3 linked regions of the Diceros bicornis minor genome follow. The protein of the gene in region 2 purifies or fractionates together with the protein of the main gene of each other region. This does not show direct contact. Links are inferred from orthologs where the notes say so. Each region holds a gene or a part of one and is shown on either strand. Other genes may lie near its edges.

Evidence for each region.
Region 1: the proteins of ISG15 (region 2) and FLNB purify together in Homo sapiens (affinity purification with mass spectrometry; 3 studies listed by BioGRID and IntAct, with this or other methods). This does not show direct contact. The link is inferred for Diceros bicornis minor from reciprocal best matches to the Homo sapiens genes ISG15 and FLNB.
Region 3: the proteins of ISG15 (region 2) and HSPB1 purify together in Homo sapiens (affinity purification with mass spectrometry; 3 studies listed by BioGRID, with this or other methods). This does not show direct contact. The link is inferred for Diceros bicornis minor from reciprocal best matches to the Homo sapiens genes ISG15 and HSPB1.

What each region holds. Positions count from the first base shown.
Region 1 is NC_080741.1:57,958,682-57,966,347, forward strand, and holds the start of FLNB (filamin-B), read left to right. Parts: upstream 1-4,610; 5' UTR 4,611-4,739; coding exon 4,740-5,031; intron 5,032-7,666. UniProt on the Homo sapiens protein: Connects cell membrane constituents to the actin cytoskeleton. May promote orthogonal branching of actin filaments and links actin filaments to membrane glycoproteins. Anchors various transmembrane proteins to the actin cytoskeleton.
Region 2 is NC_080752.1:21,991,729-21,997,950, reverse strand, and holds ISG15 (ubiquitin-like protein ISG15), read right to left. Parts: upstream 1,754-6,222; 5' UTR 1,626-1,753; coding exon 1,623-1,625; intron 1,150-1,622; coding exon 655-1,149; 3' UTR 597-654; downstream 1-596.
Region 3 is NC_080765.1:3,494,414-3,500,469, reverse strand, and holds HSPB1 (heat shock protein beta-1), read right to left. Parts: upstream 2,090-6,056; 5' UTR 2,031-2,089; coding exon 1,661-2,030; intron 1,037-1,660; coding exon 973-1,036; intron 884-972; coding exon 694-883; 3' UTR 570-693; downstream 1-569. UniProt on the Homo sapiens protein: Small heat shock protein which functions as a molecular chaperone probably maintaining denatured proteins in a folding-competent state. Plays a role in stress resistance and actin organization.

The sequences.
Region 1 (7,666 bases), on a different chromosome or scaffold from region 2:
GCAGGGTGTGGACACTGGTGCAAAATTACAACGGAGAAGGCCCCGCCCTGGGGGAAAGATGCAGCTGGGGAGGACATAAATTCATTTTGCAAGTCCTGGTTCTCCATCTCTGTTCCCTTTGGAAAGCAGGCCTCTAAATCTGGAACTTTCAGTCTTCACTCTTTGACGTCCACTCATATCATAACCACGATAGTATCATAAAATTATCATAGCATCCTCATCATCATAATAGCAGTATCAGTTCTCTCGGTAGATACTTACATGCTGAGTGCTATACACATAGTTTCTCATTTATCAGAAACTCCTAGGAGGGATACCTGTAGGTTACAGATAAGGAAACTGAATCAGGGGCAGCCCCAGGTCCCTGCTCTCAATCATGACTACTGCCTTTCTTAGCCCTTCCTTAGTACCCAATCTCTGTCATTCTGTGACCTTAGCCATATGACTACCCCTCTCAGCCTCAGTTTCCTTACCTGTAAAATGGGGATAACAACAACAGGGTTGTTGTGATGATTAAATGAGAAAATGCCAGTACTCAAGAAATGGAAGCTTCTATTATTATTATTTCTACTATTGTTACTGTTATGAATATCCTGACATGCTACTGTAGTAGTGGACCCCAGGATGCCATCACCTGGGACCACTCTCACAGAGCTGGGGTTCCTGAAGTGTGGAGGTAGGTTTCACACATGGGGGTGGGGGTCCTAAGGTCAGAACCCTGGTGAGAGCATCATGGATCTCCAACCTATTAACTGGTTTATTTCAATATCAAGCATATCTCTATACCTGCATTGTCCAATATGAGCCACCAGTAGCCAAAGAAAGCTACTGGGCACTAGCAATGTGCTGAGTCTGAATTGAGATATGCTGTTAAGTATAAGATACATGTCAGATTTCAAACACAGTACCTATATATATATATTTTAAAATATTGATTGTATGTTGAAATTATAGCTTTTTGGATATATTGGGTAGGGTGACCAACTTGATCTGGTTTGCCAGAGACATTCCTGGTTTTAGCACTGAAATGAAAGGCCTGCATCCCAGGATACTCCTAAGTCCTGGGCAAACCAGGACAGTCAGTCACCTTAATATTAGTTAAAATATATTATAATTAATTTCACCTGTTTCTTTTTGCTATTTAAGTGACACAACTGTTAATTGTTATTAGAATATTAAAAATTATAATGTGGCTCTCATTATATTTATACTGGCCAGTCCAGGCTCTTTTAGGTCTTAAACCCCAGACTATCCCCTGTAAGGGGACAGAGATGACAGTTACCCTTCTTCAGCAACTGACCACAGAAAACAGCATCTAAACTTTAGCATAAAACCAGCACTGTGACCGCACAAAAGCTGAGTGAGGGGACTGCAGGATGGGACACGACTTTTCCAAGTCAGAGGGGAGATGAGAGCATTCTTGGAAGAGGAAACTGCCTGAGCAAAGGCACGGAGGTGGGATCAGGGGAACTTTTGCATACTTGCTTGATTAGAAGACCCTCTTGTGATCAGACTCAGACGGGCTGATTTGGCAACTGGTACAACTTTGAGAAGGAGGCTCACAGTGCTTCAACTTCTGCCCAATGTTTATCTTCAAGTTCAGCTGGTCTCTTCCTTGTAGATGTCTGTGCATCTGCTGCTGTCCTGTCAGGTCCTTGCTGACATGGAGGGATTACTGCTCTGCTTATGTTTTCTTGGTCAGTTTATTCTGACCATGATCTCTCAGGGCTGTAGCAGATTGGTATCAACATCTGTGGGGAACAGACATGGAGGGGAGCCATGGCTTCTTATAGAGACAGACTGGAGTCTGGGAAAATGCAGTTAATTCCAGATGTTTCAGGGACTGATTGTGAAGTCTGTTAATTATGCCCAGTTTCCAGCTACATTAACTGAGCACTTATTCTGTGCCAGGCACTATGCTATGAGTTTTGCTTGTGTTATCTAATAACCCTAGGAGTGGAGTAGGTGTGTTATCTGCATCACCTGGATAAGAAAACTGTGGCTTGCAGAGGTTACTTGTTCAAGGTCACAAAGCCAGAACAGCCAGAATTCACACCCAAAGCCTGTGCTTTTTACTTCTGTACACTCTTCCACTCTGGGCAGTTCTACCAAGAGATCAGAGAAACTTAGGACAAAATTTAGGGTATTTGTTAAATGAAAGCCCTATCAGGCAAAACTGTAGAATACGTTAGCTAAAATGCTCCCTGTAGATATGCCTACCTTTAGTTGTTCATCCTCATGTTTTATCAAATATTGATAAAGAGCCATATGAAGACCTTGTTTGCTTCCTCTCCTTGTCTCTGAAGCCAGTGACCCCCCTCCTCCACCGTGGCTGTTGAATCCCCTTCATCCTCACCATAAATGGCTCCTAGAGAACTTGTAGGCTTCTTCTGATTGGATGGATGGACTCATCCTAAGACAGGGATGTCTCAGCTTTGAGTGAAGTAGACTGGATATTCACACACAGAATTTATTTAGTTATTTGTGTCAAGATCTGGTGAAAACAGAACTATCTTATAAGAAAGGGGAACCTGAGCACATTAGCAGCTGCTGATTGTGCTGAGTTGATCACATTAGCTCCAGTCTCACCTAGCAGGGAGGAGGTCCCCTTGGGAGTGAGACACTGCGGATAGTGAGATGAGTTTGGGTGGAGGAAAGCATGAGGAACGAGGAGCCTCGGGCATGGGGGAGGCAAAGGTCACCAACACTGCCTCTACTGAATCTGCTGCTCAGATTGTGTGGACGAAGGCAAGGCCCAGGCTGGGAACAGCATGGGGGCCGTTAGGCATAGTGTAGACTTTGGAGTTAGATCCAGGTTCAAGCCTGGCTTTGTCTAGTCCTTACCAGCTGACCTCCAGCAAATCTCTTCACTTAGTCACTAAGGAAGGGAATGATCCTTCAAATACGGGCTGGGGCCCGGTAATACACTCTCTCCCCCAGGCTGTTTTCAGCATTTCCAGTGAGTGAGACAATCTGTCTGAACAAAGCACTTCAGCATTGCATGCAAATGACCTGTTATGAAAAGTTAAAACCACAAATCTGCTGGCTTCTCCTGGGCAACACCCGGGCTGGAAGCCCTTGACCTCCATCCTGCCCAACCTCTCTTCCCCCAGGAAGACTGCCCACCCTGACCCCCTTCCCCCAAGCCTTCTTGGGCCCAGGGCACGCTGTGCTTCTCTTATAGACTGGATTCCAGTCCTGTTTATGCTGTGTGCCCTGGGCAAGTCACTTAACTCTCAGTTAATTCTTGTCAAACAGGGCCAATAGCAAAGGAACGGCTTAGCACAGCTCTTGGCACAGTGACAGAGCAGGTACTCGGGAGAAGCTAGCTGCTACTCTTATAATCATTCAGCTGTTGACAGCAGAGGTCTGGCCTGGGTCTCCACTGTTTCCCAGCACCTAGCACAGAACCTGGATGAGTACACAACAGGTGCTCAATACATGGTGTTGGTAGGCAGAATAATGATCCCCAAAGATGTTCATATCCTAATTCCCAGGACCTGTGAATATTACTTTACATGGCAAAGGGGAATTAAAGTTACAGATGGATTAAGATTGCTAACCAGCTGATTTTAAAATATTCTGGATTAACCAACTGGGCCAAATGTAATCACAAGGGTTCTTAAAAGAGTTAGAGGAAGATATGACTGGAGAACCAGAGAGATGACAGCGTGAGAAAAACTCAGCCTGACGTTGCTGGCTTTGAAGATGGAGGAAGAGGCCACAGCCAAGGAATGCAGGAAGCTTCTAGAAGTTGGAAAAGGCAAGGATACAGATTCTTCCCTAGAGCCTCCAGAAAGGAATGCATCCTGCCAATACCTGATTTTAGCTCAGTAAGACTCGTGAGGGACAACTAAGCTACAGAACTGCAAGATAATAAATGTGTGTGTTTTTAAGACAAAGTTCTGGTAATTTGTTACAGCAGCATTAGGAAACTAATATACAGCCAATTATTGTTCATTTCTATTACTACTACTAAGCTGTTAGTTGATTTGTATTTTTCTCTCCCATTAGTCTATGAACTCCTCAAGGTTAAGGAATGTTTATTTACCACTGGTTCACAGGCACTAAGAGGGCCTGGTACACCGTAAGCACTCAATAAACGCTATGAACGGTAATAGTATCATCCAAATGAGTTTAGTTAATATAAATAGTAAAATATCCGTTTCCTTCCTCCAGTGCCTAACACAGTGCCTGGCTCACAGCAGAAGTTCAATAAAAACCCTTAATGAACCTATGGGTGAATGAAGTACCCCTCCCTGCCGGCCCCTCCCCCATGACCCACGCCGCCGTCCGCGCCCATTCTGTCAAGCTCCCTACCTCTGCACGTCCCCTCACTCCGGGACCGGGTGACTTTCTCCTTACGCAGCTCTTCTCCCGCCTAGCTTCCTTTTTTCGAGCCCGTGAGCACACAGCGCGGGGACTCGGGACGCCTCGGAAGATGCGGGGCGCAGTGCACACTTCGGCCGGCTGGGGGCGAGCGTGGCCTGGGAACACCCGCCCGAGGGTTGGGACGGGGCGGGGCATCGGGGGCGGGTCGGCTCAGTGCGCAGGCGCGCGGCCAGACGCCTCGCGCGGCCGGAGGCAGGCGGCCGCAGAGCAGCACCGGCCGCGGCTCCGGTAGCAGCGAGTTCGAGCCCCGCGCCCGCTCCGCGTCGGCTCTCGCTCCCCCGGCCCTTGGGTCTCCCGCCGCCAGTCCCCGGCAGCTCGCTGCGCATTGCGCTCTCCCCGCCGCCAGGATGCCGGTAACCGAGAAGGACCTGGCGGAGGACGCGCCGTGGAAGAAGATCCAGCAGAACACGTTCACGCGCTGGTGCAATGAGCACCTCAAGTGCGTGAACAAACGCATCGGGAACCTGCAGACCGACCTGAGCGACGGGCTGCGGCTCATCGCGCTGCTCGAGGTGCTCAGCCAGAAGCGCATGTACCGCAAGTACCACCAGCGGCCCACCTTCCGCCAGATGCAGCTCGAGAACGTGTCCGTGGCACTCGAGTTCTTGGACCGTGAGAGCATCAAGCTCGTGTCCATCGGTGAGTGCCCTGGCCGGGCCAGGCGCGGGCGGTGTACCATCCCGCCCCCGCAGAAGGCTGGGGCTCCCTGCGGCGCGTCCCCCCCCACGCCCGGCAGCCGCGGGCTGGGTGTGGGCTCCGAGGCCGGGGGGCGTCGTCCCCGAGGGAGTGGGGACATAGGGGACCTAGGCCCCCTCCCTGGTGCCGTCCCCTGGCCTGGGACCTCGTGTGATAGCTCCCCGCCGTGTGCCCCGGCAGTGCATCTCTGGGGGTTTGTGGGTTGGGGGCTTGGGTTGGGGCTGCACGGGGACGGTTAGGGCTGTGGTATTTCTCTGTACCTGGGGTGCCCCTGCGGGAGCTGGGGGACTGGAAACCTCTGGTCCGCCGTCCCCGGGATTGGGGCCTTAGTCAGATTCTCTCCAGCGCGCTCGCCCCGCTGCGCCCAGGCCGGTGCGCTTGGCGGCTGCCGAGTGGGCGTTGGCTCGGAGGCCAGGCGGGGGGACCTGGGGAGGTCCTGTTCTCTGAGCCTGGGGCCTCCCCGCCCAGGTGGAGAGGGGGCCCTTGCACCCTCCCCCGCCGTCTCCGGAATGGGTGTGGGCCCCGAGGTAGGAAGGGGAGTCGCGGGGGTGTGTCCTTCTCGCTCCCTCTGCTCCCAGCTCGCCTCTGGCCCGGCGCCGCGGGATGAGCCGCTCTCGCCGCTGAGAGCGTTATAACTGTGAGAAGTTATAACTGAGAGATGGTGGTGGGAATGGTAATTGCCGCCCTGTAGGGAGCCCAGACCAGTGCGCGTTGTGTGCCACAGCCTTCTCAGTTGTGTCTTTACACATCCCGCGAGTTGGGGTGTCGTTAGACCCATTTTACAGACATGGGGGTCCAGAGGGTTAATTGACTTTCCCAAGGTCATGGAATTAGCGAGGGTCCAGCTGAGAATTGAAGGAAGTGGGTGACAATTCAGGGAGACTTTGCCTTCCTCTCCCCGCCCTCCCCACACCAGGGTCTTCCTGAGAGGAGGGAGGGAGTTGGTGTTGGGTTCCTCTCCCCCTGAGTCCGGAGGGAGAATGAGGATGAGGTCCCCACTATGACCTGGGCTGGTTGAGGACTTCCAGGAGGGTCACAAAGCTGCTGAGGGTGTGGGCTGTGACGGTGGGGGCAAGGGGTGTGTCGTGTGAGTGTGTATGTGCACTTGTATGTGTGTAGAGAATGTGTGTACACCTACATTGTGCATGTGAGTTCTGCCAGGTGAGCATCTTGCCAGAGAGGAGCTGGCGCAGGCCTGGGTCTAGCTAGGGTCTCTTCCTGAGGAAACTAGGCCTTATAGTGACTCTCCCTGACTGGAAGAAAGGGTGGTGGGTGTGGCTGCTGGGACTTTCTCCAGCATAAAAGGGGTTTCCTCTAGGCTGAGTCTTCTCATCCTCTCCCTTGCCTTCCCCTACACCTGTCCTGGCAGGTAGGGCTGCTTCCTGCTTCCTGGGCTCAGGCAGCTGCCACCGCCCAGTCAGCCTCCCCATCAAGGGTGGCTTCTCTGCAGAGGGAAGCTGTATGGCATGCTGTTGTCATCTTTTGGGGGCCTATCTCCTGCAAGTGGGGAAGGAGAAGCTTAGAATTCTCCTGGAATTCTTTCCTTTTCAGAAACCAGCTTCCCCTCTGAGGAATCTCAAGGCTGGGCTCAACTTGGATCCCTTCTCCTTTGTTTTAAAAATGTGTATTTATTTAATTAACTGAACAAAGAAACTTAAAGTAAACCAGGAGTATCCAAACATGACATGAAATCTCTTTAAAAAACAAAACAAACAAAAAAACCAAACCACAGCACCAGAAAATCCTGGACTGCCTAATTCACTGTTTACAGAGGCTACAGCTGTATCCAGCATGGCTTGCCATCAGTGCCCTGAACTTGGGGGTCTCATTGTAGACTTTGCCTGGTCCCTAACATTTTTCTGCTTGACTCATGATTTTCATTCCTGAACACACCCAGGCCTTAGTGACTTCCACTGTCCTGACATTCCAGGGTTAGTTTCCCCTTCCCTGGTTACAGGCCTGTGGGCTGTTGGCAGCTTCTTGCTGTGGACCTCTTTCCACCACAAGTTACATTGTTTTATTTTATTTTCTCCTTTTAAATTATTTCTTGGATCATATTCCCCAAAGTGGTATTCCTGGGTCAAAGGATATGACCACATTTATGACTCCTGTCGTTGGCTGCCTGGTTACTCTCCAGAAAAATCTCACAGCAAACAGGTTTTCCAGCCTCTGGAGACTGATGGGAGACTTGCCAAGTGCCAGGACTCCCATGGGGGTAATGACTGAGGCCTCTTCCCTCTGCTCCTGGGGCTGTTCTGGGTAATTGCCCTTCAGAAAAAAGGCACATCCAGCTTGGACTTCAGTTCAAGTATTCAGTGTTTCTGCTGTGTTTGCATGGTGCTGACAATGACACTAGCTCCAATTTGGGGCATCCACTAGGTGTTAAGTGTTTTCTGTTGATCACCTCATTGATTGCCACATTGAATCCTCGAGTTTCACTTTCCTTGTCTATGTAATGATCTGCTTCAGCGAGTCACTGGGCCGGTTGTGGGCTTGCCCCAGTCCTGGCCAAATGCTTAGAAAATGGTTGCCATTATTCTGTGGTTGTTATTAGTATTATTATCTCTATTTAAAGACG
Region 2 (6,222 bases):
TGGCCTGTCCCCACCGCTCCGCAGACCAGCGCAGGCTGGATGGGGCAGGCTGGTGTGTCCTGGAGGGCCAAGACGCCTGGAGCCTCCAGCTGGTGTAGACGAGCCTCCCTCACAACCCACCCAGCCGGGCCCTAGGGACTCACCCCCTCACCACTTCCAGGGTGCTGGTCCCAGCAGGGACCTCACTTTGTGGCATTTGGAACCAGGCCTTCCCTTCCCTGTGCTGTCTGCTGCCCAGGACGTGGGGGGAGGGGACCAGTGGTGCAGTGGCTGGCCGGGGCTCCACCTGGGCCAGGGATGGGCTCCAGCAAATGTGCCTCTTTTTGTTTCTCTACAAGTTAATTTCCCAAAGGTGTGGGGATACATCTTCAATTCCTGGGGGGGTGGCGAGGGCAGTGGGAGTGTCACTATTTAGGTTCCACTAGGGCTTGTCCCTTAACTTGGCAACCCCAGCCTGATCACCACCAAGCGACCCTGGGCTCTTTACTCAGCTCCCTCCTCGCCCCTCCCCCAACCTCATCATCAGGGGTGTGGAATGGAGGGCTGGCTGATGCTGCGGCGTGTGGGGAAGGGGCGAGAGCAGGCAGAGGCAGCCATTTAGCGTTGCATCAGCTTTTATTACAGGCACTTGGTCAGGGACTCAGGTGGGGGCCTTCAGCGTGGCCCCCGGTGCCCTGCCCCGCCCCCCCGCAGGCGCAAGTTCATGTACACCGTGCACCAGGCCGTGAGCTCGTACTCCCCCAGCTGGCGCTGGTCCTCCATGGGCTTCCCCTCGAAAGTCAGCCAGAACTGGTCAGCGTGCACGTTCTCCTGCCGGCACACCTGCTGCTTGAGCTCCGCCACCGTCTGCGTCAGCCGGATCTCATAGGCGCTGCTGCGACCCCTGTCATTCCTCACCAGGATGCTCAGGGGGTCGTCGCAGTTCTGCACGACCAGCAAGACCGTGCTGCCGGGCTGCAGGCCCTGGCTGACGAGGGGGACCCTGTCTTGCAGCACCGTGCCGGCCGGGTGGGTGGCCAGGCGCTGCTGGAAGGGGGGCACTCCGGTCTTCTGGGCGATCTGCTGCTTCAGCTCCGAGCCCAGCATGGAGTCTGTCAGGTGCACCAGGAACTCCTCACCTCCCAGCATCTTCACCTTCAGGTCCCGACCCTTTGGGCATCACACAGACTCAGAGGCCCTGGCACCAGTCTTGGGGCCCCTACACGCACAGCATTAGTCACAGCGCAAACTCCTAAGGCCCCTAGACGCTGCTCTCTCCTTGCCGTCCTCCCCGCCCACCAGGAGAGGGACCCCGGGTGCTGGAAACGCACAGGAATGCATTTCTAGAAGAATGGCCAGCCACCCAGGACCATCATGTCGCCTCCCTTCACCTGCTAAGATGCTCCCTGTGCCGGCCCCAAGGGACTTCAGAGTTGGCCACTGGGCAGAACCGGCCTTCCAAAACCCAGACCCTGAGGACAGAAGGAGCCCTGTCCCTCCCCTCCTGCTGAGGCACCTGGGGCACTGTGAGCAGCTCTGCTTGCCTGGCACACAGTAGATGCTCCACCCCCGGGAGACCCCACGAGGGGTAGGAAAATCAGCTGGTGCAGAGCCCACCTGCCCCCACCTGTCAGCCCCCTCACCATGGCTGTGGGCTCTGGCGCCGAGTCCTCCACAGGCACTGGCGAATCGCAGGGCTCGGCTTCCAGCTCTTGCTGCAGCCCTCGGGGCTCAGCCCTTTTATGGGCCTGAGCGAGCACGTCATGCACGGGGCGGTGTCGGCCGAATTCCGCTCCAGTTTCGGTTTCCTTTTCCCAAGGCTAGCCCCAGAGTGAGTGGAGGAAACAAAACAGAATGGTGACCGAATCCCTGCCCCTCAGGGGTGTGCCTTCGGAAACCCCCTAAATGCCTACCACGTCAGGTCCTTCACGGGATGACAAGTCGTGATAACACGATCTGAAGATTGGAAACTTTCACTTTCCATTTACCAATTTGCAAAATTAGCAAACTTGGAAAGCATTGTCATGGTCAGTTCAGAAATAACAGAAAATAGTGACAATCCGAACTACTCAGAGGTAATCACATCGCTTTAGGACAATATTTGTTCAGATTGCTTTCCTGTGAAAGAAATTCACCTTTTTTCTTTAAATTATTTATTAATTTTTTCCCCCAAAGCCCCAGAAGATAGTTGTATGTCATAGTTGCACAGCCTTCTAGTTGCTGTATGTGGGACGCGGCCTCAGCATGGCCGGAGAAGTGGTGTGTCGGTGCGCACCCAGGATCTGAATCCGGGCCGCCAGCCAGCGGAGCATGCGCACTTAACCGCTAAGCCGCGGGGCCGGCCCAAGATGCACCTTTTGTTTCTACAAAAATGAACTCATGGACACTATCCCTTAACCCAGCGAGGCCATTATAGCCTAGAGTGTGATTTAGTAACCAGTCTCATATTATTGAATATTTAGTTTGTCCCCAAATTTTTACTATTACAAACAGCACATAACGGTCATAAGTTAGCTAAAAATAAAAAGTAAATACATTTTTAAGTAAAAAAGTAAAAGAGTGGAAAAAACAAAATGTTTTAAATATGAATCTTGACCATTTTACCTCCCTCCTCCCCCAAAATCTCATAAGGCATCAAAATTGTTAACACACAAAAAGCAAACAGGGGGTTTTATTTTATCTTTTTAATTTATTTTTTTGAGGTAACATTGCTTTATAACATTATATAAATTTCAGGTGTTCATCATTACATTTCCACTTCTGTGTAGACTGCATTGTGCTCACCACCAAGATTCTGGTTGCCATCCCTCACCATACACACGTGCCCCTTTACCCCTCTCACCCTCCCCCCAAACAAGGGGTTTTAAATTTCTTTCTTTTTATTATTATTATTTGTTTGTTTGTTTGTTTGTTTTTGCTTGAGGAAGATTGTCCCGGTGCTAACATCTGTGCCCTTCCTCTATTTTGTATGTGGGATGCCGCCACAGCATGGCTTGATGAGCAGTGTGTCGGTCCGCACCCGGGATCTGAACCCACGAACCCCAGGCTGCTGAAGTGGAGGGCGTGAACTTAACCACTAGGCCACTGGGCTGAGCCCTTTTTTTATTATTTTAAGTTTATATCTTGATTCATTCCTTACATGAATAATATTGGTATTATAAAAAGAAAACCACAAACATTCATTGAAACAAAGAAAACAGAATGTGAAAATCCCCCATTTCCTCCAGATGGCCACATTAAACATGGTGTATATATCTCTTGATTTCTTGATGTTGGCATGTGGTACTATGATCTTCATTTTCTTTTATTTACTTCCTCCTGTGTTACCAGCTGTCTTCCTGCTTCTGATGGGCAGAACTAAATGCACGGTTATTAAGGAGGCAAGCCACAGAACCTGGGGAGCACCTGTCTTAGTCTCCTGCCGTAACAAATCACCACACACTGGGGGGCTTAAAACAACAGATATTTATTCCCTTGCAGTTCTGCAGGACAGAGGTTCGAAATCCAGGGAAACTAAATGGCCAAGACTATCAGGCTGGTTAAAAATAACCTGATTTTACATGGCTTATAGAAGACAAGAATCATCTGAAATATAAAGATACAGGAGATTTGAAAGTAAAAGGATGGCGAGAAACATACCACACAAATCTTGACTAAGGGAGACAGATGTGGCCATATTAACAATTTTATTAGCATATTAACAAAGAAATCTTATAGGCAAAGCGTTTCCAGAGATACAGAATAATAAAAGCTTGGATTCACTGTAAAATGAAATAAATTTAAACTTGTAGGCACCTAATAACATGGCCACAAAATATATAAGTTCTAGTCACAAATGTTAATATTCTATTTATGAAATTACAACAGTCACTTATAAAGGGGCCTTTGGTTAATATTTGGTCTCATTTACAAACTAATTTAAACTTCCTTCAACTTTTAAAACAACATCTATAATGTTTAATATACTTGATTTTATTTTATTTTTTTTGTGAGGAAGATCAGTCTTGAGCCAACATCCACGCCAATCCTCCTGTTTTTGCTGAGGAAGACTGGCCCTGAGCTAACAACTGTGCCCATCTTCCTCCACTTTATACGGGACGCTTGACTGCTACGCCACGGGGCCAGCCCCCTGATTTTATTTATAAGCGCTTCAACTAAGAACAGCAGCAACAGCAAAAAACCTTCCCAAGAACGTGCACAGTTCTCACCACTTACACCTGTACGCCCTGGTCCAGGGCACCACCCTCTCTCACCTGGGCCACTGCAGATACATCCTAGGGGTCTTGCTTCTATCCTGCCCCACTCCCATAATCTGTTATTGACCAGCAGCCAGAGTGATCTACACAAAACCTTCCATCCCCATGGCTTCCCATCACCCTCAGAGTGACAGAAGGAGCTTAAGCTTGCCACAACACAGCGGCCTCTGGCCACTTCGCTTGCCCTCGCCTCTCCTCTCCTGTCCCTCCCTCCTCCCCTGAAGGGCTTGGCTCCAACACACTGGCCTCCTTGCTGTGCTTAGGGGGTGCCAGGCACACTCTTGCCCCAGGGCCCTTGCACTGCTTCCCCTCTTCCTGGAATGCTCCCACGCCCCACATCTGCATGGTTCACTTCCTTCACCTCCTTCCCGTCTTTGCTTAAATGTTACCCCCGAGGTGGGGCCCCCCTGACCACCTGCTCCCTTGCTGCTTCTCCCCACAGCACTTTTTACCTTCTAATAACCATATAGTTTACTTACTCGCTATTGTTGTGGTCTCTCTCCCTCACTAAAATGTTCACCGTGGAACCTGCCCGTGAAAGGTGCAGAGGACTCTTGCGTGTGAACGAGTGAATCTTTACACATGTAATGAAATCAAATGTAAAAATGTGCTGAATCTTGAGTTTTCAGAATTCTGAGTTCTCAACAAATTAATCTTCCTATCTTTCTGCTTAAAATCACAAACCTCAATCCTTTATTAAGTGTGCATTTGAATTTAGGATCTCGAGGCTAATCCGACATAACTTTCCAAAGTGTAAAACTATGAGTCTGATTGTTTTACAACTTTTTTTTTTTTTTGTGAGGAGGATCAGCCCTGAGCTGACATCCGTGCCAATCCTCCTCTTTTTGCTGAAGAAGACCGGCTCTGAGCCAACATCCATTGCCAGTCCTCCTCCTTTTTCCCCCCAAAGCCCCAGTAGGTAGTTGTACGTCATAGCTGCACATCCTCCTAGTTGCTGTATGTGGGACACGGCCTCAGTATGGCCGGAGAAGCGGTGCGTCGGTGCACGCCGGACCCAAACCCGGGCCGCCAGTAGCAGAGCGCGCGCGCTTAACCGCTAAGCCACAAGGCCAGCCCCTGATTTTTTTACAACTTTAATGAGGTATAATTGACATACAGCAGAACCTCAGCTATTTTTGTGCAGTTTAAGGAGTTCCCACGTAGCTACCACCCGTGAACCCGTTACCACAACAAAAAGTGGACTTGACCTTGCATCATCTTCTCTCTACTTAATTCTGACTTTTGGAGGATCACATAAAGCTTGTTGCCTGTTCTAGAAACAGTGCTGCCTTCCTCACGGGCTGGGTGGTTCTCAGCCGAGTGAGCCCCAGTTGGGCCTGAGGGTTGGGCCGGACGTGGGACTGACTGTTCCCCTGGCTCCTTCTTCACGTGGCTGTTGCAGGGACCCGACCTCACAGCCCAGATTCTTCCATCTGATGAAAGTCGACCGGCCTCCACCTTCCAACAAGACTTGACTCACCTCTCTGTTCTCCACCTTTCCATTGGCCAGTCACCACTCCTGATACCATCATCTGGACACATCTGATTGGCTAGAGGCCCTGGGTCACAGCTTGAGGGTCCCCCCTGATGATAGGGCTGGGGCCCTCTGAGGTGATGGACTGGGTCGCCCTGCAGGCCTCCTGATGGAGGCATTGGGGCCACAGGGGCACCACGGCTTCTGAGAAAGTAGCACAGGGCTTGTTACTCACCGTGGCCACCAGGAAATGTGTCATCAGAGACCCCGGGTGGGCCACGTTTCTTAAGGAAGGTGTATTGTTGAAGTCTAATTAGCCTGGGCTCATTGAATAAGCAGCCTCCTCTTTTCCATATTCTCACAAGGAGTGTCACCCTGTTCCTCCAACGAGACCAGGAAGGCTGAGCAGGTGGCACCCTCTGACCTGGGCCACAGCCTCACTGTTCTGGACCCCATTCCTTCTTATGCCAGAGCCTCACCCCCGCTTGTCCGCACGTCCCCCTCCTGGCCACA
Region 3 (6,056 bases), on a different chromosome or scaffold from region 2:
AAAGGTGGGTGTGACTGTTCCTGCCTGGGACAGTCAAGGCAGCCCTCCTGGAGTGACCGCCTTCCCAGTTAGGACTCTGTGTCTCTTCCACCAAAACCCGGGCCACATTGCCCTCACTCTCTGCAGGACGCCCTTGGCCTGAGAGCCCAGGCCCCACCCTGCAGGCACGGGTGTGCGGGAACAGGTCCTTCGACTAGGCCAACCTCCCCTCAGAAAGTCACCTGGAGTTGCCACACCTCCTATACCGTCTACAGGGTCCTGCTCAAATCTGGAAGAATAATGAAGTCAGGAAGGGACTCTGAGCTCCCAGGAAGCTCCCCTCCCTCAGCCCTGCTCCGTCCCCCTTCACCTGACCCTAGCCTAGGTGTCCCTGAGGGCCCAAGCCTGGGCCAGGTGCCTCTCCTGGTTTCCCCGCTCCCACACCTGCCCCTGTGATGGACACCACTGTACCCACAGGGCCCAGCATGGGGCTTGGCACACAGCAGGCCCTCAGCAAATATGATGAATGTGTGAGCCAGCAGATGGCACTGACCCCTAGGCCTCCACAAACACCAGGGTCTGAGGCAGTAGCAGGCAGGGACTTGAACTTTATTTGAGAAAAACAGAAGGTGAATGTATCAAAAGAGTATACAGATTGGCAGGTGGGGATGGTCAGTGGTGGCTACTGGGGGGTAGGCAGCAGGGCTAAGGCCTTTACTTGGCTCCAGGCTGCTCCGACTTCCCAGCTTCTGGGCCCCCCAGCTGGGCACGTGCCTCGAAGGTGACAGGGATGGTGATCTCCGCCGACTGGGTGGCTGACTTGGGAATCGGGGCCTCCACGGTGAGAGTGCCCTCAGGGGACAGGGAGGAGGAGACCAGGGTAGGGTCCACACCTGGGGGCAGCCTGGACATGCAGAGAGAGAAGCCGAGAGTTACACACCAGTCTGTCACTGCACCCTCCCCACTCCCCCACAATCTGGCACCAGGACTTACGTGTATTTTCGAGTGAAGCACCTGGAGATGTAGCCATGCTCGTCCTGCCTCTCCTCGTGCTTGCCTGGGGGGAGAGTGAGGTCAAAGGTTGGGGGGAGAGGCCACCTCAAAGGCCTGCCCCCGTCCAAACCTGCCCCACCTGCCCCACCGGGTGGCCGGGATTCATGGCCCCCAGGATTCATGGAGGAGGAAAAATGACTACGGAATTTGGGGGCCCCGGACTGTCCCGGGCCCTAAGAAGCTTCTGGAAAGCTCAGTTCAGGGTTTGGGGGGGGTGGGGGCGTGGCGCCAGGCTCGTGCACACGCCCCTTCCGCAGACCAGAGCTAGGGGCAGGGACAGAGCCGACAACGTCCTCTTCACACTGACCGCGGAGGGGGGGGGGAGGCGCGGGTGGGCGCTGCGAGACCTGGTCATTGGGGGTGGGTGTGGGGGAGGGGTGGGGGTGTCTCCTTGGAAGGGAGCGTTTCTTCCCTTAATAGCGCGTTTTTACGGCCGAAAGGCCCTTAGGAGGTCCCCGCAGGCCCCATTCTAGAGCAGGGGGCACGGGCTAGGGGGCAGGGCGGGGAGGCCAGGCCCAGCCGAGGGCTCTGGCCTTCGGTCCTTGGCTAATTTTTCACTGCCCAGGCCTCTGGCTCACGGTCCAACCCCCGCGCCGCCAGCTTCGTCGCCGCGGGGCGGGGGGCTCACCGGTGATCTCCACCACGCCGTCCTTGGTCTTGACGGTCAGCTCCTCGGGGGCGAAGTGGTTGACGTCCAGGGACACGCGCCAGCGGTCGGCGGTCTGCCGGATCTCGGAGACGCCGCTGCTCAGCTGCCGGCTGAGCGCGCGGCTGTAGGCGGGCACGGCCACCGCGCCGGGGCCCTCGATCGCCGCCCCGGGCAGCGGGCGCACGTAGCCCGGCCAGCCGCCGTGGCTGAACCATTGCGACCACTCCTCGGGCAGCCGGGGCAGCCCGAAGGCCTGGTCGAAGAGGCGGCTGTGGGCCGGGTACCAGTCGCGGAAAGGGTCCCAGCTGGGGCTCCGCAGGAGCGAGAAGGGCACGCGGCGCTCGGTCATTCTTGCTCGGCTCTGCGCGTCTGGCTGCGGCTCGGAGAAGTGCTGGGCCCGGCCCCGCAGCGCTTTTATAGGCCTCCAGACGGGTATTTTTAGCAGGCGGTGTTTCAGGTCTCTATTAAAGGCAATGACGGACTAGGGGCAGCTCCTCCCCCGCATCCCTCCCTCTGCATACCGGGGTGGGGGCGGGACGAGGAAGGCCCGGCCCACATCTGGAACCTTCTCTTGTTCAAGAAAACAGATGACTGGAGCACCGATGCTGGTGCAGTGCTCACTGCCGGACACTCGCAGGCCTGGGCGCTAAAGTGCTGGGCCGCCGACTGTGGGCAGTCCTATCCTTTTGTCCAAGGGGGCAAAGCTGAGAGAGGTTGGGCCGCCTGTCCCAGGACACACAACTAGGAAGTGGCAGATCCAGGATTTGAACCACCGAGTGTCTGTGAAAGAATGTCTTAAGAAGCAGGCTGGTGGGGTTTTCAGAGTGTGAGCTCTGAGGCCAGACTGCCTGAGGTCACATCCTGATTCTGCCACTAATTGGAGGAACTTGTGTGAGTTAGACTCTGGGTGCCTTAGTTTCTCCATCTGGAAAATGGAGACGATGATAATAATAATGCTTACATCATTGGGTTGGTGTGAGGATTCAGCAACTTAATGCAAGTAAAGACTTCAGTCCAGGGCCTGGTACATGATAATGATTAGTTATTGTTATTTTTGTCCACCTGAAACTGAATAGAGGGACGAGGAAGGAGAGTGTGCATGTACCCCTATTGCAAAGGCAGTGCTTGTGTGGGTTTGGCCATTTTCTCTGTTCCCCCTAGGGGGGCTGGCCCAGGTAAGATACCCCAAGGCCCAGTGCTGAGAGGGGGTCAGGAGGAGGTTATTGTGAAGTCTCCCCATCATATCTGTCCTTCCTTGAGGAGCCCTGCACAGGGAACCTGAAGGGCCACAACCTTGACTGTAGTCTGGGCTTTGCCATGGACTTACTTGTGATTCGGAGCAAGGCCCCTCCTTTCTCTAGGCCTCAATTTCCCTTTTTGCAGATTATGATCTCAAAGCCCCTTTTTTGTTGATGATTCCCATGGCACAAAGGGCAAGGGGGCTCCAGGCTGCGCAGTCCACTCACACTGCCTGGAGCCTGAGGCCTGCCCCTTGACCTCACCTCCTCTCTCTCTGACCACTTATGGATCCAGGCCCCCATCTCCCAACTCTGGGAGAGGGCTCTGCCGCAGGCTCCTGCCGTAATCCTGACGGTCCCTCTCTCTTGCCTTCACATGCACCACCCTGGTCCAGCCTTATTTCTCCCCACTTATGTCCTATGATCTTTCCTTTTTAGATGAGGAAACTGAGGTTCAAAGAGATTAAGTGACTTGCCCACTGTCTCCACTGGGACACTAGCAGAGTAGCCTCTTACCTCTCTAGTGCCCAGGGCTCTTGCTGTTGAGGGCTCCCATCTTGGAGTCCCCCCGCCGTTTCTCTCTTTCTTGCTTGCTGCCCCTCTCCCGGGGCTGGGCTGAGGATGACCTCCTGCCAGTTCTGTAGGGGGCCTTTTGCTACCCAGGACACCTGAGGGGCTGGAAGCCAGACTCTGAGCCACTCGCCTTGATGAGTTGGGGGTAGCACCAAGTCTCATGCCCTCTCTGAGCCTCAGTTTCCTCTTCAAGAGAGAAAGCTCCTGGATGCTCTTCTTCCTTACCCACCTGCTCCCCATCAGAAAAGAGCTGAGGCTGGGCATGAATCTGAGGTCACCTCTGAAAAGGCCTCTGAGCTCCTGGGGCTCTCGTGGGCCAAGGGTGGGAGGCAGACAGGACCCATGCCCTCTGCTCCACCTCCCTTGCTGGATCATGTCATGAGCTAGTGGGTCTGAGTTGGGAGCTACTGGGCGTCCCCCAAGGGTCTCAGCTTCAGGAAGCCCTAGGCCTTCACTCCCTGGCACTCCCAGCCCCACCTTTCCCCAGCTCTATAAAGTCGGGGTGAGGTCAGGAGCCTGGAGGGCTCTCGTCCACGCCTGCCTGCCCGCCTTGGCCCAGACTGGAGCCCAGGTGTCCCACCCTAGAGGGAGCTGTCCGGTGTGGTCATGGATGCTTTCAAGTGTGGCCCTGCCAGGCCCAGTCACGCTCTGGGTGGGGCTGCCTGGCTGGCTGCCAGCGCTTTGCAGACACAAGCTCCCTTCATAGCTCCCTTCATCTGCCTGAAACCAGGACAGGGAGGATTTATTCCCACTGCCCCAGCCAGGGGAAGTTGTGCAACCCAAGTTGCAACCCGCACAGCACTCTGCCCACGGTGGGTGGGGAGGCAGAATTGAGAATTCACATCCATCTTCAACGGGGCAGTTCTTGAGGGACTCTTAGATCACCCTGCCAATCACAGGGAGGGGACAAGGGTGGCTCTGGGTGGTGGTAAGAGGGTGTAGGGTATGTGGGAGAAACTGGCTTTTGGGGTCAGACAGCCTGGGCTTCAATCTGGGTGCTGGTGTTCACTGGCCTGTGACCTCTCTGAGCCCACAGGTCCCCATCAGCAAAACATGACTACTAATGTGCCCATCTTGCAGCGGTGAATCTCAGATGCAATAACGTGTGTGAAGTGCCTGGTGCTCAGTGAAGTGTCCATCCTTATTAAGGGAGGAGGGCCTTTCATTGTTTAGATGTTGAGACTTAGACTAATGAAAGTTACCCAGATGTACGCACTTTATATAGAGTGTCCAAGTATCTTATCAGGCTCGTGAGTCTCCTGATTCTGGTGCTGGAGAGACTTACCAGGCCGTCCAGGGAGGGCTGTGGGTGCAGGGTGAGGTGTGCAGCCAAAGGTTGCCTGTCGGGATGGGGAGGGTTGGGCCAGGCTCCCTGGGGTCCCTCCAGCTCTGCCCAGGTGCCCTTCCTCTAGGAGGTTGCACCCCTGCACCCAGGCACAGGGCTTGGAAAGAGAAGCAAAGGCTGACGTCAGCTCCTCTTGCCCACCTTCCCAGATGTTCTTTGACAATCTTCCACTCTAGCATTGGGGCACTGAGCTGCCAGGAGTAGTTTTTCTGAGATTATGAGGATAAGTCCACCCCCCAGGGATTTCCCAGAAGCCAGGGGGACTGGAGGTAGATGGGCACTGCAGGGTCTGGGATTCCTTAATCACAAGGGCCCACCCATCATCCCTAGCCCCAAAGTCTGGGGTACTCTGCCGCAGCCCCAAGACCAGCCTCCCAGCCTCCCAGCCTGGCACTGTGCCTGAGGCCTTGGCCGCATAGCCACACCCTCGGCAGTTCTTTGCCAACTGCGCTGAGCCATTCTCTCCCTTGCTGGCCCAGCCTCAGAGAAAGCGCTGGAGTCTTCAGGCAACTGCCCGAGCTCCCCAGAGAGGCCTGACAGCTGACGGATTGCACCAGTCGCTGGGCCTGCTGGGAACTAAAAATGTGGGCAGCAGTAATTAGAGTGCATGGGGTGAGGGGCACCAGGTCTTTCTGGAAGCGTCTAGACACTGCCCCTCAGGGAGTCCATTTCCATCTCCAGTCTATCCCCTAGGCCTCTGGCTTCTGGCTGGCCTTGGGGTCACTTCGCACCCATCACTGCTGAAGGGGGGCCAAGGAGGGGCCAGGTGGGAGGGCTGGGGATCCATCCTCTGGCCCCTCCCGCCCCGCTGTCCAGCAGAAAGAATCTGTCTAGCTTGGGAGTCTGGGGATCTGCATGTCTCTCACTCTGTGACCTTGGCTGGCGGCCGGCTCCCGTGACTCATTTTCTTCATCTGTACAATGAGACCATTGGACTGGATGTTCTCTAAGGCTCCTTCCAGCACCGTGAATCAACAGTTTCTCCTCCACTCTCCTTCCTCCCCCCCAGGTCCCCTGCACCGACTGCCCACTCTGCCTGCTAATGCTGCTGGAGCGGGTGTGTATATGGTGAGTGGAGGCAGGGGTGAGGGAGGACCTGGAGATGTGACATCCCCCGTGGTGGCTGTGGAGGGGGGAGGCCCTATGGCTGGAGCACCCTCGTGTCTTAGGTGTCCTAAGAGCCCTTTTCAGCTGGAGGGGGCCCTGGAGGAGGAAGGGCA